Linked DNA regions of Coturnix japonica. The protein of the gene in region 3 purifies or fractionates together with the protein of the main gene of each other region. This does not show direct contact. Links are inferred from orthologs where the notes say so. Each region holds a gene or a part of one and is shown on either strand. Other genes may lie near its edges. The genes, in order: LARP7, RO60 and SSB.

The links.
Region 1: the proteins of SSB (region 3) and LARP7 purify together in Homo sapiens (affinity purification with mass spectrometry; 4 studies listed by BioGRID and IntAct, with this or other methods). This does not show direct contact. The link is inferred for Coturnix japonica from reciprocal best matches to the Homo sapiens genes SSB and LARP7.
Region 2: the proteins of SSB (region 3) and RO60 purify together in Homo sapiens (affinity purification with mass spectrometry; 3 studies listed by BioGRID and IntAct, with this or other methods). This does not show direct contact. The link is inferred for Coturnix japonica from reciprocal best matches to the Homo sapiens genes SSB and RO60.

Annotation. Positions count from the first base shown.
Region 1 is NC_029519.1:51,156,837-51,160,485, reverse strand, and holds part of LARP7 (la-related protein 7), read left to right. Parts: intron 1-489; coding exon 490-608; intron 609-3,072; coding exon 3,073-3,232; intron 3,233-3,649. UniProt on the Homo sapiens protein: RNA-binding protein that specifically binds distinct small nuclear RNA (snRNAs) and regulates their processing and function.
Region 2 is NC_029523.1:3,395,272-3,398,920, reverse strand, and holds part of RO60 (60 kDa SS-A/Ro ribonucleoprotein), read left to right. Parts: coding exon 1-564; intron 565-1,624; coding exon 1,625-1,845; intron 1,846-2,101; coding exon 2,102-2,248; intron 2,249-3,153; coding exon 3,154-3,291; intron 3,292-3,572; coding exon 3,573-3,649. UniProt on the Homo sapiens protein: RNA-binding protein that binds to misfolded non-coding RNAs, pre-5S rRNA, and several small cytoplasmic RNA molecules known as Y RNAs.
Region 3 is NC_029522.1:16,280,013-16,284,172, forward strand, and holds the start of SSB (lupus La protein), read left to right. Parts: upstream 1-1,333; 5' UTR 1,334-1,444; intron 1,445-3,592; 5' UTR 3,593-3,601; coding exon 3,602-3,667; intron 3,668-4,091; coding exon 4,092-4,160. Other genes in the region: KLHL23 (kelch-like protein 23), read left to right, coding at 1-232. UniProt on the Homo sapiens protein: Binds to the 3' poly(U) terminus of nascent RNA polymerase III transcripts, protecting them from exonuclease digestion and facilitating their folding and maturation.

The DNA.
Region 1 (3,649 bases), on a different chromosome or scaffold from region 3:
CTAAGGGCTACAAAACTGTTAATCTAAAGCATTCAGAAATGCCTTATAATGGGGTTTGATCAGGTTTATAGCTAGAAGTTAAGCTGCATATTCTTGGATCTACTAGTATATTTTTCTGAAATGGAATTGTTTCCTCCCATCCCCACCTCAGGATCCTCTTTCCTTTCCCATTTAGTGAATTGAATTGAATTCAATTGAAATTGAATTGAACTTCGATAACAGACTTGTCGTTTATTTTAAATCACTATAGATTCAGGATTTGGTTATTAACTGTGATGAATAGAAGAAAAAATATTCTAGGGTGCTTGTGAAGCTACGATTTTTTTTTCTTTTATGTTATTACATTAGAGAGGAATCTGGATCCACGATTTTAAAATATGTTCCTTTTTCATTTCTGTGTACATCACGTTGCTTCTGTGCTTTTGTAGATTTTGGCTTGCCAAACTGATAAATGTGAAATTTCTTCTCTCCTTTTTTCCAATCCATCAGCCACCAGTGAAGATGGTGCCCCTCCTGTCAAGGCTAACACAATGGGGCCCCAGTTTGTGAGTGGAGTAATTGTGAAGATCATTAGCACTGAGCCCCTGCCGGGCAGGAAGCAGATCAAGGTAATGCCTTTGTAACCTCAGGGTAGCTGTTAGCCTTTCCTCTTACAGTGCCACCCAAATGTTTGAATATGGAATACGATTTAAACAAATTTTAACGATATTTTTTTGTTTGTTTGTTTGATTACCTGTAGCTGTGTTCGGATTCCTCTCTAGTACCTGTTAATGGAAGAATTTAGGATGGCAAAATAGGGTGAAGAGAATGTTTCAAACAAGATGTAGCCTTTTGAGTGCTTCAACCAAGGCTGAAAATAATGGCAGAAATAAATAATGCTCTGGAGGATGAGTAATTGTCACCTCTACCTCCAGCCCTTCTTGTTCTGTCTTTTCATTTGCTGTGTGAAAAATGTGGTTAATGTTATACTGCTAAAAGTAAATCACTGCTGAGACCAATCTTCCGTTTCAGGAATAGGAGTTTGATGTTGTTGGGTGCACCTTTTTCTGTATGTAATTGTGCCACTAGTTTTGGTACAAATCAAATGAAGGAATCCATAGTGGTAAATTGTTTTTGCTTCGGTATGTGGTGATTTGTTGTTTTAGTTAGTTAGTTTGTTTTTAACAACAGGAATTTGGGGTTAAGAAAACATATTGTATGAGAAAGTTGTCATTTGGTTTTAACTCATGTTAGAATAAATGTGCAGACCACTTATAATGGGAATGGATCTAAACACAAGTTCTGAGGTAGCTTACCATACTACTTAGATATCTAACTGTACATTGTTGGGAGCTTTCTACTTGCAAGTGTGTGAAGTTGAATGTATGCATAAATACTAGCAAGGTTTGAAGGGTATTTTTCACTGAAAAGGAATTGATGATACATGAGGTTTCACCTTAATCAGTCTTGTCTGCCTTGGTATTTGTAGGCAGTCGTCTGAGTACTGGAGGCACTGAGAATGTGGTAGTTGTCACTGTAACGTTTAAGGCCAGTTCAGTTTGACTGCAAAGTACATTTTATGTAGTTGAGTTTGTGTTGTCACATAACACATTATGCTCAGGTAGGGCAGAGCTCATTTTCAGCTACTGCTGAAATCATAAACTTCCAGTCTGGTATTTCCAAATAAAACAAATTTAGTTTTTTTCTTTAGTTTAAGAAGAACATTTCAGTGAAAGTAAAGACATAACAAGATTGGCATGGCCTTTATTCTTGTTAATAGTTGTTGTGGTTTCCATAATAAGGCAAAATATTATACAGAATATCTCCAAACAAATGAGGAAAGATTTTTAGGAAGAAATACAGTTGTAAAATACATCTGTAGTTGGAACAAACAACAATCCTCAGGATGCTCCAGCTGTTTCTCAGCTTGGCAGAGGGAACTGCAAACTATACTTGACATTCCCTGGCTGACTTGTGGCTATACTAGTTGCTTCTGTGAAATGTTTAACGCTTCAGCAAAAGCCTTTACTTTGTCTGTCCACCAGGTCTGTCATATCTACAGCACTGCTGCCGCCAGACAATGCATTTAGGTTTTTCTTAGTAAATTTCCAGTATTTCTTCTTGCATGACAGGCATGGGGAACTTCTACATACCTGAAAGATCTTTTCAGTGCAATTCTAATGTTATTTTGATATTTTAGTTTTTTGCTGTGCTACTTCCATTTGCTCCCCTGTTTCTCAGGGGAGAGAAACTTATGTGTTGTGTGAGTCTTAATTTAAAAACCAAAACACGATGACTTTGGGTTATCAGAATGAACAGTAGTTTTGATTCTCAAAGGATCTCAACAATTTTGGTGCTTAGTTTTGTTTTGCTTAAGGTTGTGCTTTGTAGTGGATGGGGTTAAAAGCAAGTAATTCTTGAACAGTAGCGGCTTGAGCTGCCTGCTGTGAACAAAATGGACTAGGAATGTGTGGTTTTAGTTAATTTCCCTAACAGCAGGTATTACAAGTGAAGTACTTCATCTGAAAGAGCATGTGTGACTCTTCCTCCTTCAGCTGTTAGTGAAAATTTTCAGGCAGAGATCACTTCATAAAGATAGGAAGGACTGTTTTGTTGTTTTGTTTTGTGTTTTTTTTTACTTTTTAGATTATCTGCCTTAAAGGAACCTGTGTGTGTGGATTTCATATGTAGGAAGACCCTGAATATTTTTCTATTGGAATGACGCTTTTCAGTGTTACAACACTTATTATTTTCTTTTGAAGGAATGTTAGTACAGATATAGTTATTGTCCGTTTTGTTTCAAAACTAGTGTTCCATTAGTCAAAATTGTTCTTAGGAAAAAGAAATATCTGTAGGAATTACTGCTTAAAATAGTTCTTGGGAGCACAATGAGAGGTTAATAGCTGTCTTAAAGTTATGGGCTCATCTTATGAAAATATATTGACTCAAAATTATTAGACAAGTGATTCAAAAATTGTTACTACTTTCTACTCCATAACCTTCTATGAAAAATGAGTGCTGTTCTACAAATTGTGTGGTCAAAATAGCCACTCTTCTGTACTCTGAAGTCTGTGTTCTCACACACCCTGATAGGATGCTTTGGCAATGCTGGCTGATGTTGCTTATGTTGACATGCTAGAAGGAGACACAGAATGCCATGTCCGTTTTAATACTCCTGAGGATGCACAGACAGTCATGAAGTCTCACAAAGACCTACAGATAAAAAACAACTGGAAATATGAAATTCTTACTGGTAAGTCTTGGTGCTTATTTGTTGTTTTGTGTGGTATTTTTGTTTGTTACCAGTTTTTTTTATTAGTGGAAGGAGACAAATGTATATCTTTACAGCTACAGTGGCTGACTATAGGTCATATCTTTTATGTATATCATGTAGTATTGTAATAGCTTTATGGATAAAAATTTAAGTGTCTTTGTAGCTGTTGAGCAGACTTCTTATTATTATATATTGTATATTTATTTCCTATAAGTCTTAACTTTTGACTGTAATGGAATTAGTAAAATAGTGAGTGTTCTTAAGCCACTGTATAGAGTGAAATAGTTGCTTTACTTGCTCTGATCAATTTAATTCTCTTCTTTTGAGACTGGTTTCATCACTACCCTAGATCTAGACTATAGAACTTAAGGCACATTTTGGCCTTAGGACTATAAC
Region 2 (3,649 bases), on a different chromosome or scaffold from region 3:
ACCAAGCTCAACCCCCAAATGAAATGCAGGTGCCAGACTCTGACAGCAATGATGCGTGGGACGTCACTGACATGAATCGACTGCACCGCTTCTTGTGCTTTGGTTCAGAAGGCGGTACTTACTGTGTCAAGGAGCAGAGGCTGGGCTTTGAAAATGCAGCAGCTTTAATGAGACTGATTGAAGAAGGCAGAGGGTGTGAAGTTGTTCAGGAAATAAAGACATTCAGTCAAGAAGGCAGAACAGCCAAACAGGAGCCCCTGCTTTTTGCACTTGCAGTTTGTTCACAGTGTTCTGATGCAAAAACAAAACAAGCAGCATTTAAAGCTGTTCCTGTGGTGTGTTGTGTACCAACTCATCTCTTTTCTTTCATCCAATTTAAAAAAGATTTGAAGGAGGGCATGAAGTGTGGCATATGGGGCCGGGCACTGAGAAGAGCTGTGGCAGATTGGTACAATGGAAAGAATGGCATGGCTGTTGCATTAGCAGTTACAAAATATAAACAAAGAAATGGTTGGTCTCATAAAGATCTTCTGAGGTTGTCCCACCTGAAACCTGCCAGTGAAGGTAATACGTTTTCATCCACCTGAAAATACTTTATTTTAAACCTGTAATATTAACAGTGGAATGTTTTTTGCAAACACAAATACCTGTGTTATCCCTCTTAGGGGCTGAGTTCATGTCTGGTGTACGCGGCCAATAGTAACATTTAGTTGGAGTTCATGTAAAGGTCTCTGTTTCAGTTCTGCACAGTCAGGTGTTAGGCTATCCTTTGCAAAGCAAGCACACACCTGACTAGAAGTGTGGTTGGTTGTAGGTAGCTGATTACAGAATTGCTTCTCTTTACAGTTTCTAATTGGTTATTTTGTTTCATCTTTAAAACATACGTATTAAAGGGCTCAAAGATGGTACATCTGGGAAGGAGAAGCTGCTGTCATTTCCTATCTCATTTCCATACAGGGGTGTATGATCTTTAATGTATTAGTAACCCCTAATAAGCCTAGGGCTCCCTCATTGGGCATTTTTCTTTCTTTTTTGTTGATATTAGCTTGTTACCATGTACTTGCTTGTAGTCAGATTGTTTATGACTTCATTTGTTTTTCACATACTTATAGTAAACTGTTTATACTTCCTTGACCTTCGTTGTCTATGCCAGTGTGATGATGATTTTGTAGTGTTTGTTTGTATCATGTAAATTACATTGTAAAGGTGTGAGGGATCATGTCAGAAATGTAACTGTTTGTCTTCAAGGTTAAAAGGGTTTATTCCTTGTTTTACTTATTATGTCAAGAGAAGTTAAAATAATATAGTACTTTCAGTTTGTTCCTGTCTGCTTACAAATGCTGAGATAACACTTGTTCATTAATTGGGAAGAGTGATGGTTTAGAATCTGTTAGGCTCTTTACTGCCAAGGAGAATAACACAGTAAACAAAACAGCTGTTTTAAATTGTATGGAGCTGATCCTTCTTAGAACTGATCATCGGATCTGGGAAGTTGCAGTTCTTTTCTTTGTTACTTCATTTGGTTTTTCACAAAAATAACCTGCTAACTTGTTTGTTTGCTGGAGTGATGAATGGCAGTATTAAGACTGTAACCCTGTTTGGAAAATATTTTCCTTCTCTATAGGAGTAGCCATCGTCACTAAGTACATCACCAAAGGGTGGAAAGAAGTCCAAGAAGCTTACAAAGACAAAGCAGTTTCTGCTGAGACTGAAAAGCTTTTAAAATACTTGGAGGCTGTGGACAGAGTGAAACACACGAAAGATGAATTGGAGGTTATTCATTTAATAGAGGAATATGGTCTCGTTAGGGAACATCTATTGACAAACCATCTGAAATCTAAAGAGGTAGGTAAACTTGAGGAGCTTTGTATTCTTTTTAGAGTAACACTTAATATTTTAAGTTAAGATTTCTGCTTAAAAATAAGCCTATGCTAAATAAGCCTCTGCTTTTTTTTTTCCAAGTTATTTACACATGTAGATAATTGTAATACAAGCCTTCATGTAACTTGCACATTTATTTTAAAATACACTTAGTAAACACACAGGTGTCATTTCTTGTACTTGGGAATCTCATCTTGTTTTTCTTGTTCTTTGTTTGGAGGTGTGGAAGGCGTTGCTGAAAGACATGCCCATTTCTGTTTTGTTGAGGAATTTAGGAAAGATGACTGCAAATTCAGTCCTTGAGCCACGGGGTTCAGAAGTGGCAACAGTGTGTGAACGACTGCGAAATGAGAAACTGCTAAAAAAGGTAAAAATTAACACATGATTAAACTCATAATCATTGCCAACCTTTGACTCTCAACCTCTTCCAAAACTGTTTCTTTACCTAAAGTCTTTATGAAATGAAGGAGAGAGTCTTTGTAAGAAATCTGTAGCTTATTCTTTTAATAAACTTTAGAGCTGTTTTACAGATGAAGGGTACTGACAACTAGTATAGTGAATTAAGGCCGTGGCAAGCTTTGCCTAGTGGGTTCATCCACTCTTCATAAGTCTTGTAACTTAGAGTCAGCTTTACAGTCCTAATAAGTGAAGGGAAGGCTCTTTCATGGGACCCCAGGAAGTGAATGAAGTGTAATTAGCTTAGCCTCTGATAGGAAAAAAGTGATAGAACAGGGAGACTTTCTCCTTTCAGGATGATTTACTGTCCATTATACCATATGAGGAATGGTAGGGTTCTCCAAAGGAGGGGAAGAAATCCGTAGGTATTTAGTGGGATATAGAGAAGATCAGTGACTTTCTGTTGGTTTTTTTTGAGTTAGTTGGTTAGTGGAATTGAGAACAAGTTCCATTTTTTGTTTCCTCTCTCACTGCTCTTTGCTTTCTGTTGTTTCTTCTTTCATTCTATGTCATTACTGACACATGGGAGAAAGGTGTGCGAAGGTGGTAGCGTAACACCTTGATAGAAGGCATTCAGATTTCCTACCATTTGCTAACATGACTTGAACATCGCCAAGAGAAAAGAAACAACAAAATGTTCATAAATCAGCAGAGTGAAGTTGTGATTTTTAAAATATGCAGCAGCCACTACATAAACTGTTCAAAAGCAATTGAAGCAAAGTGGATTTTGATTTACAGTCATCTTAGTTTGTGCTGCTTTTTAATGTGTTATTAAGTTCAGGCTTCTGAAAACTTACTTTATTACTTTGCCTGTAGGGTAGAATACATCCATTCCACGTATTGGTTGCATTAGAAACATATAAATCCGGACATGGAAGCAGAGGGAAGTTTTGGTGGCGTCCTGATGAAGACATCTTAGAAGCTTTAGATGCTTCATTCTACAAAAGTTTTGAGGTAATGTAATGCTTCTATTTACTAGGCTTAAGTCTTTTTTTTCTTTTTCTGGAAGCCTATAAAAATATATCTTAGTGTTTCCTGAGTGGGTAAGAGTATTCCAACTTGATAACAAAAGTCTTAATGATTTTATTAAATGGAGGGAGGTGAAAAAACGACTTAGCTTTTGGTAATGCTATTGTCCTGAAAAAATAAACAAGATGCATCTAGATGGAAAGCAGAAGGAAGAACAAATTTATAACCCATCTGTACATGTTTTCATTTTTCTTTTTTCCTTTTAGGCAGTTGAACCAACAGGAAAACGTTTTGTAGTTGCAGTTGATGTCAGTGCTTCAATGACCCAAAAAGTTTTGGGCAG
Region 3 (4,160 bases):
CCCAGAGCAGGACGAGTGGAAGCAGATGGCTCACATGTTAGAACGGAGAATGGAGTGCGGCGCGGTGGTGATGAACGGGTGCATCTATGTGACAGGAGGATATTCCTATTCCAAAGGAACGTATCTGCAGAGTATTGAGAAATACAACCCTGAACTAAACACGTGGGAAGCAGTAGGCAACCTTCCCAGTGCCATGCGTTCACATGGCTGCGTCTGTGTGTATAATGTGTAGGCATGACATTTTCATAGTGCTGACAAAGGAAACATGCAGTATTCCTAATGGTACTGATTACCTCATGAATGAGATGCCTAATACAATCTCCTAGTGCACATTCATTAAGGACTGTTCAATTTGTTTTAAACAATTCAGAAAGGTAAATAAGGAAAAAAAATATTTTCATATGTTTTCTCTGTCATGGAAACTTTCAAATGACTCTAATAATACTTTCTGTAACTGTATCTGACTGTGAAAAACAGATTTATTTTCACCAGTCACTGGGTAGAATTTTAACTTGGTGCTAAGTTAAACCTTTTTGCCTTTCTGTGGAGAAGCGGGCCTAGGATGTAATCTTTGATATGCTGAAGACAGCTGTAGGAATGGTTCATTGCCACAGATCTGGTGTGTGGGACATACACAGTGATATCACTTACACATAGTGATACCGCATCCAGGAACTGCAGGCAGCTGCAGGGCATCTCTAAATCCACCCTCAGATGGCAGAGTGAAGAAGAGAACACACAGAGAAAGGGGAAAGAAATATCACCTGGTAGCCCAGTTATGCAAACAGAAACTGTATGCTGGCTTCATGGCGTTGTAGTGGGATTTTGGACTGATTTGTTGATGTTGAGCTGTTGTTGATGGCTATTTATTTGGAGAAAAGCCTTACTATGATAACTGTTACATTTAACATGTGGAATGGAAGGTGGAGCAGGACTGAGTGGACCAGAGCCTCCCCGCTGCTGTGGGGCTGCATGCGGTCTGACAGGAGCAATCCTAACACACAGCGCGGCTGAATGCGTTAAACAGAGTGTAAAAGTTGAAGGTCCTTATTGCTCCTGGTGCTATTTTCTGTACGGTAACCTGCGCTGCTCAGCCCGCGATCCCGTTTTATTGACGAGCTGAACGCAGGCGGCGATCTTTATATTGTGCCTTTTCCCGGAATGAACGGCACATAAGCCGAATCGATGAACACTCTACGATGTATTAAAGCTTTTCTTAACGTGACACCCGTATTTATAGCACCGTTAGCATCTCCAACGTAATCGCTAATATCCGTAACACCCACTGACCGCCAACGCCCCGACGCCGTTTCCGGCAGCGGCCCCGCCCCGGAAGAGGCGCCCACGTGAGAGCTGCGGTGTCTGCTGGGCACGCGGCGCGTCCTGCAGCCTTTGGAGCCTTTGGAGCGGAGCCGCGCGGTCTGAGCCGGGCCGGGCGGTGCAGGTGGGTGTGCGGGCGGCGCGGCGGGTGGCGCCGGGCGGGGACGGCTCCGGGCGGGCGGCGGGGGCTGCGCGAGGGGAGCGGGGCCGCAGGTTGTTCCGGGCCGCGCTTCCCGCGCTGCTCGCTGCCTGTCCGTCCGGGAAGGAGGCCGGAACGCGCGGCCGGGCGGAGGGTGTCGCTGCCTGCGGCCGCCGTGCAGGATGCGGGGCAGCGCTTCCCGCGGAGGTGGCTGCGCGCTGCGCGATGCTTCTCGGCGTCCCGCGCCGCGCCCCTGCGTGCCCGCGGGTGGCGGCACGTGGCGGACGGCGCTGCCGTGGTGCCCCGCGGAACTGCAGCTGCGGAGCCGCCCGGGGCTGAACTGGCGGCGGGGAGCGGCTCGGGAGCGATCCGGCGGCTCGTCGTGCAGCGCTGCTTCTCGCATCGGAGTGTTCGGCACGAGGAATTCGTTCTTACCTCGCGCCCGTTGTGCTCTTGTGCGCTATTGCGGCAGTCCATGTGTGCGGGGTGTGGAGCGGCCTCCGGCGCTGCCCGGCTCGGCGCTGTCGTCCTGGATGCCGGGCCCAGGAGAACTTTCCTGGTTGTAAGGGTTCATCTCGGGGACTTGCCGTAGGCCTCCTTTGCTTTAGACTTCCTTACGGAATGCTTTTCCGACTTGAAGCGCTATCTACGAAGTAGGATTTGCTCTGCCCCTCTCAGCAGCGCAGCGGGGCCTCTGCAAGGCGCGCTGCGGGCGCTGTGTTCCCGGAGGGGCCCCGTAAGGGTGAGGGCCTGCTTTTCCACAACGCTGCACGTCACTTCTACCGCAGTGTTTCTTAATGGCCCCTGCGGTACCCAGTGGTAAATACAGCAGTGTCTGCGTTGATCGGATGAGGGTGTTTCTTGGGGGGTTACAAGAGCCAGGCTGCCCCCAACAGACTGGAGTTGTCTCTGAATGACAAAACCAAAGCATAACCGCTGGTTTCGCTGAGTGCTTCTCCTGTCACCCTATCACCTCAGATGCTGCCTCTGCTCACTCTTCACCTGGGCAGCACTGCTGAGGACTGAGCATCCTAAAGGAGCCCCAGGCTTATTTTAACAGTAAGAAGAGTGAGTACCATTTGGTACCACAGAACAAAACAAGAGCAGCCGAAGGGGCATGGTGGTACAGTCTGGCTGCATCCCACCCCAGAGAGTTCATAGCAGCTGCCTCTTGCCTGGCCCTTTTCTGCTGCCTTGCTGGACTCTGCTGGCTGTGAGGTGGTGGGGCACGGTTCCTGTCCTCAGTTCAGTGCAGCTGCACGTTGTACTTTTGTGCTGGGCTTCTTTAAAAACATACATTATTAAAATCCATCTTTTTAAAAATTTCTTTTCCCCTCAGAATATGCAAGACAGCAACATTTTCCACAGCTCCTAATAAGCTAGTATGTTGTCTTAAATAATTGAGCTACACTGTGAAAAGTACCTATAGGACAGTGGTTCGCTTAGAAGATTGAGAAGCGCTTAACAAAATCTGCCATGCTCTGAGAAGAGCCATAGCAATGTCACCTTGCCCAGACAGAAAGGTTTTCAAGGTCTCTTGTTCTCCCAGCTGTACCATCTACATCACTGTGTCTCCAAGACTCTGAAACAAGTTAGTGATAAAATGAATCAAGTGGAACAGTTCTTCAGTAGGTTGGCTTTCCCTGGATAAGGTGCTGCAGAGGCACACAGTGTGTGGTTAATTACTTGATCCAGGGGAAAAAGCTGAGACTATTCTGTAGGCTGACAATAATTTCAACAAAATTAGGTAACATCAAACATTTTTTTAGTGAGTCAGGTGCCAGGGACAACAGCATGGGGGAGTGTAGTGATGATGGCAGCACCTGAGTCCTCACTGAACTGATGGCGTTGCTGGAATCAGGATGGCTGTGTAGGGACATCTCTGAAGTGACTGCAACTGTAAGCTGGTAGGCTGTGGCCCAAGTTTCTGCAAAGTGCTTTATAGACAAATGAACTGTTTTACCTGTTCGTTAATTGTTCTAGTTTCCACTTGGAATTTCTGCAGTCACATTTAGAGCTGATTCACCAAAATAAAGGTGGCTTGTAGGGGCTGCAATTAAATGCAGCACTACAAGAAAGCTCTGTAGAAGTTGGTAATTAGTATTTAGTGACTGTGCTCTGATTTCAACACAGCTGGTGAAAATGGCTGAAAATGGAGATGGTGAAAACATGTCTATCTTGGAAAGCAAAATCTGCCAGCAAATTGAGGTAAGTTCAATTTATCATTTGGGACCTGAACTGAGATGTAGTTTTTGGAGACCTTAATTGGTAGGGACTTGGCTAATGTGAAGTTGTGCATCAGTAAACAATTTGTTACTGTTTGTCAGAGTTATTCTTTGCATGCAAATAGAAAAATGCATTTTAATTCAGTATGGCTTAATTTCTGGGGGAAAAATCCTGTCTGGGAATCTGTGCTGTTCAAAATATTAGCATGCTGCATAATTTGCTACTATAATCTACTTTTGGAAGTGTTACGTTGAAGCAAGAAGTAATAATATGAGAATTCCAATGAAAATAACAACTAGAATTTTGAACATTTCCATCCACTGCTGTCATCTGCCAAATGGAAAAGAGCTTTTAAAGTCTGAACATTCCAAAACAAGTCTGTCTTTTTATTTTTATTTTTTTGCAGTACTATTTTGGCAATCACAACCTACCAAGGGACAAGTTCCTAAAGGAACAGATCAAATTAGATGATGGT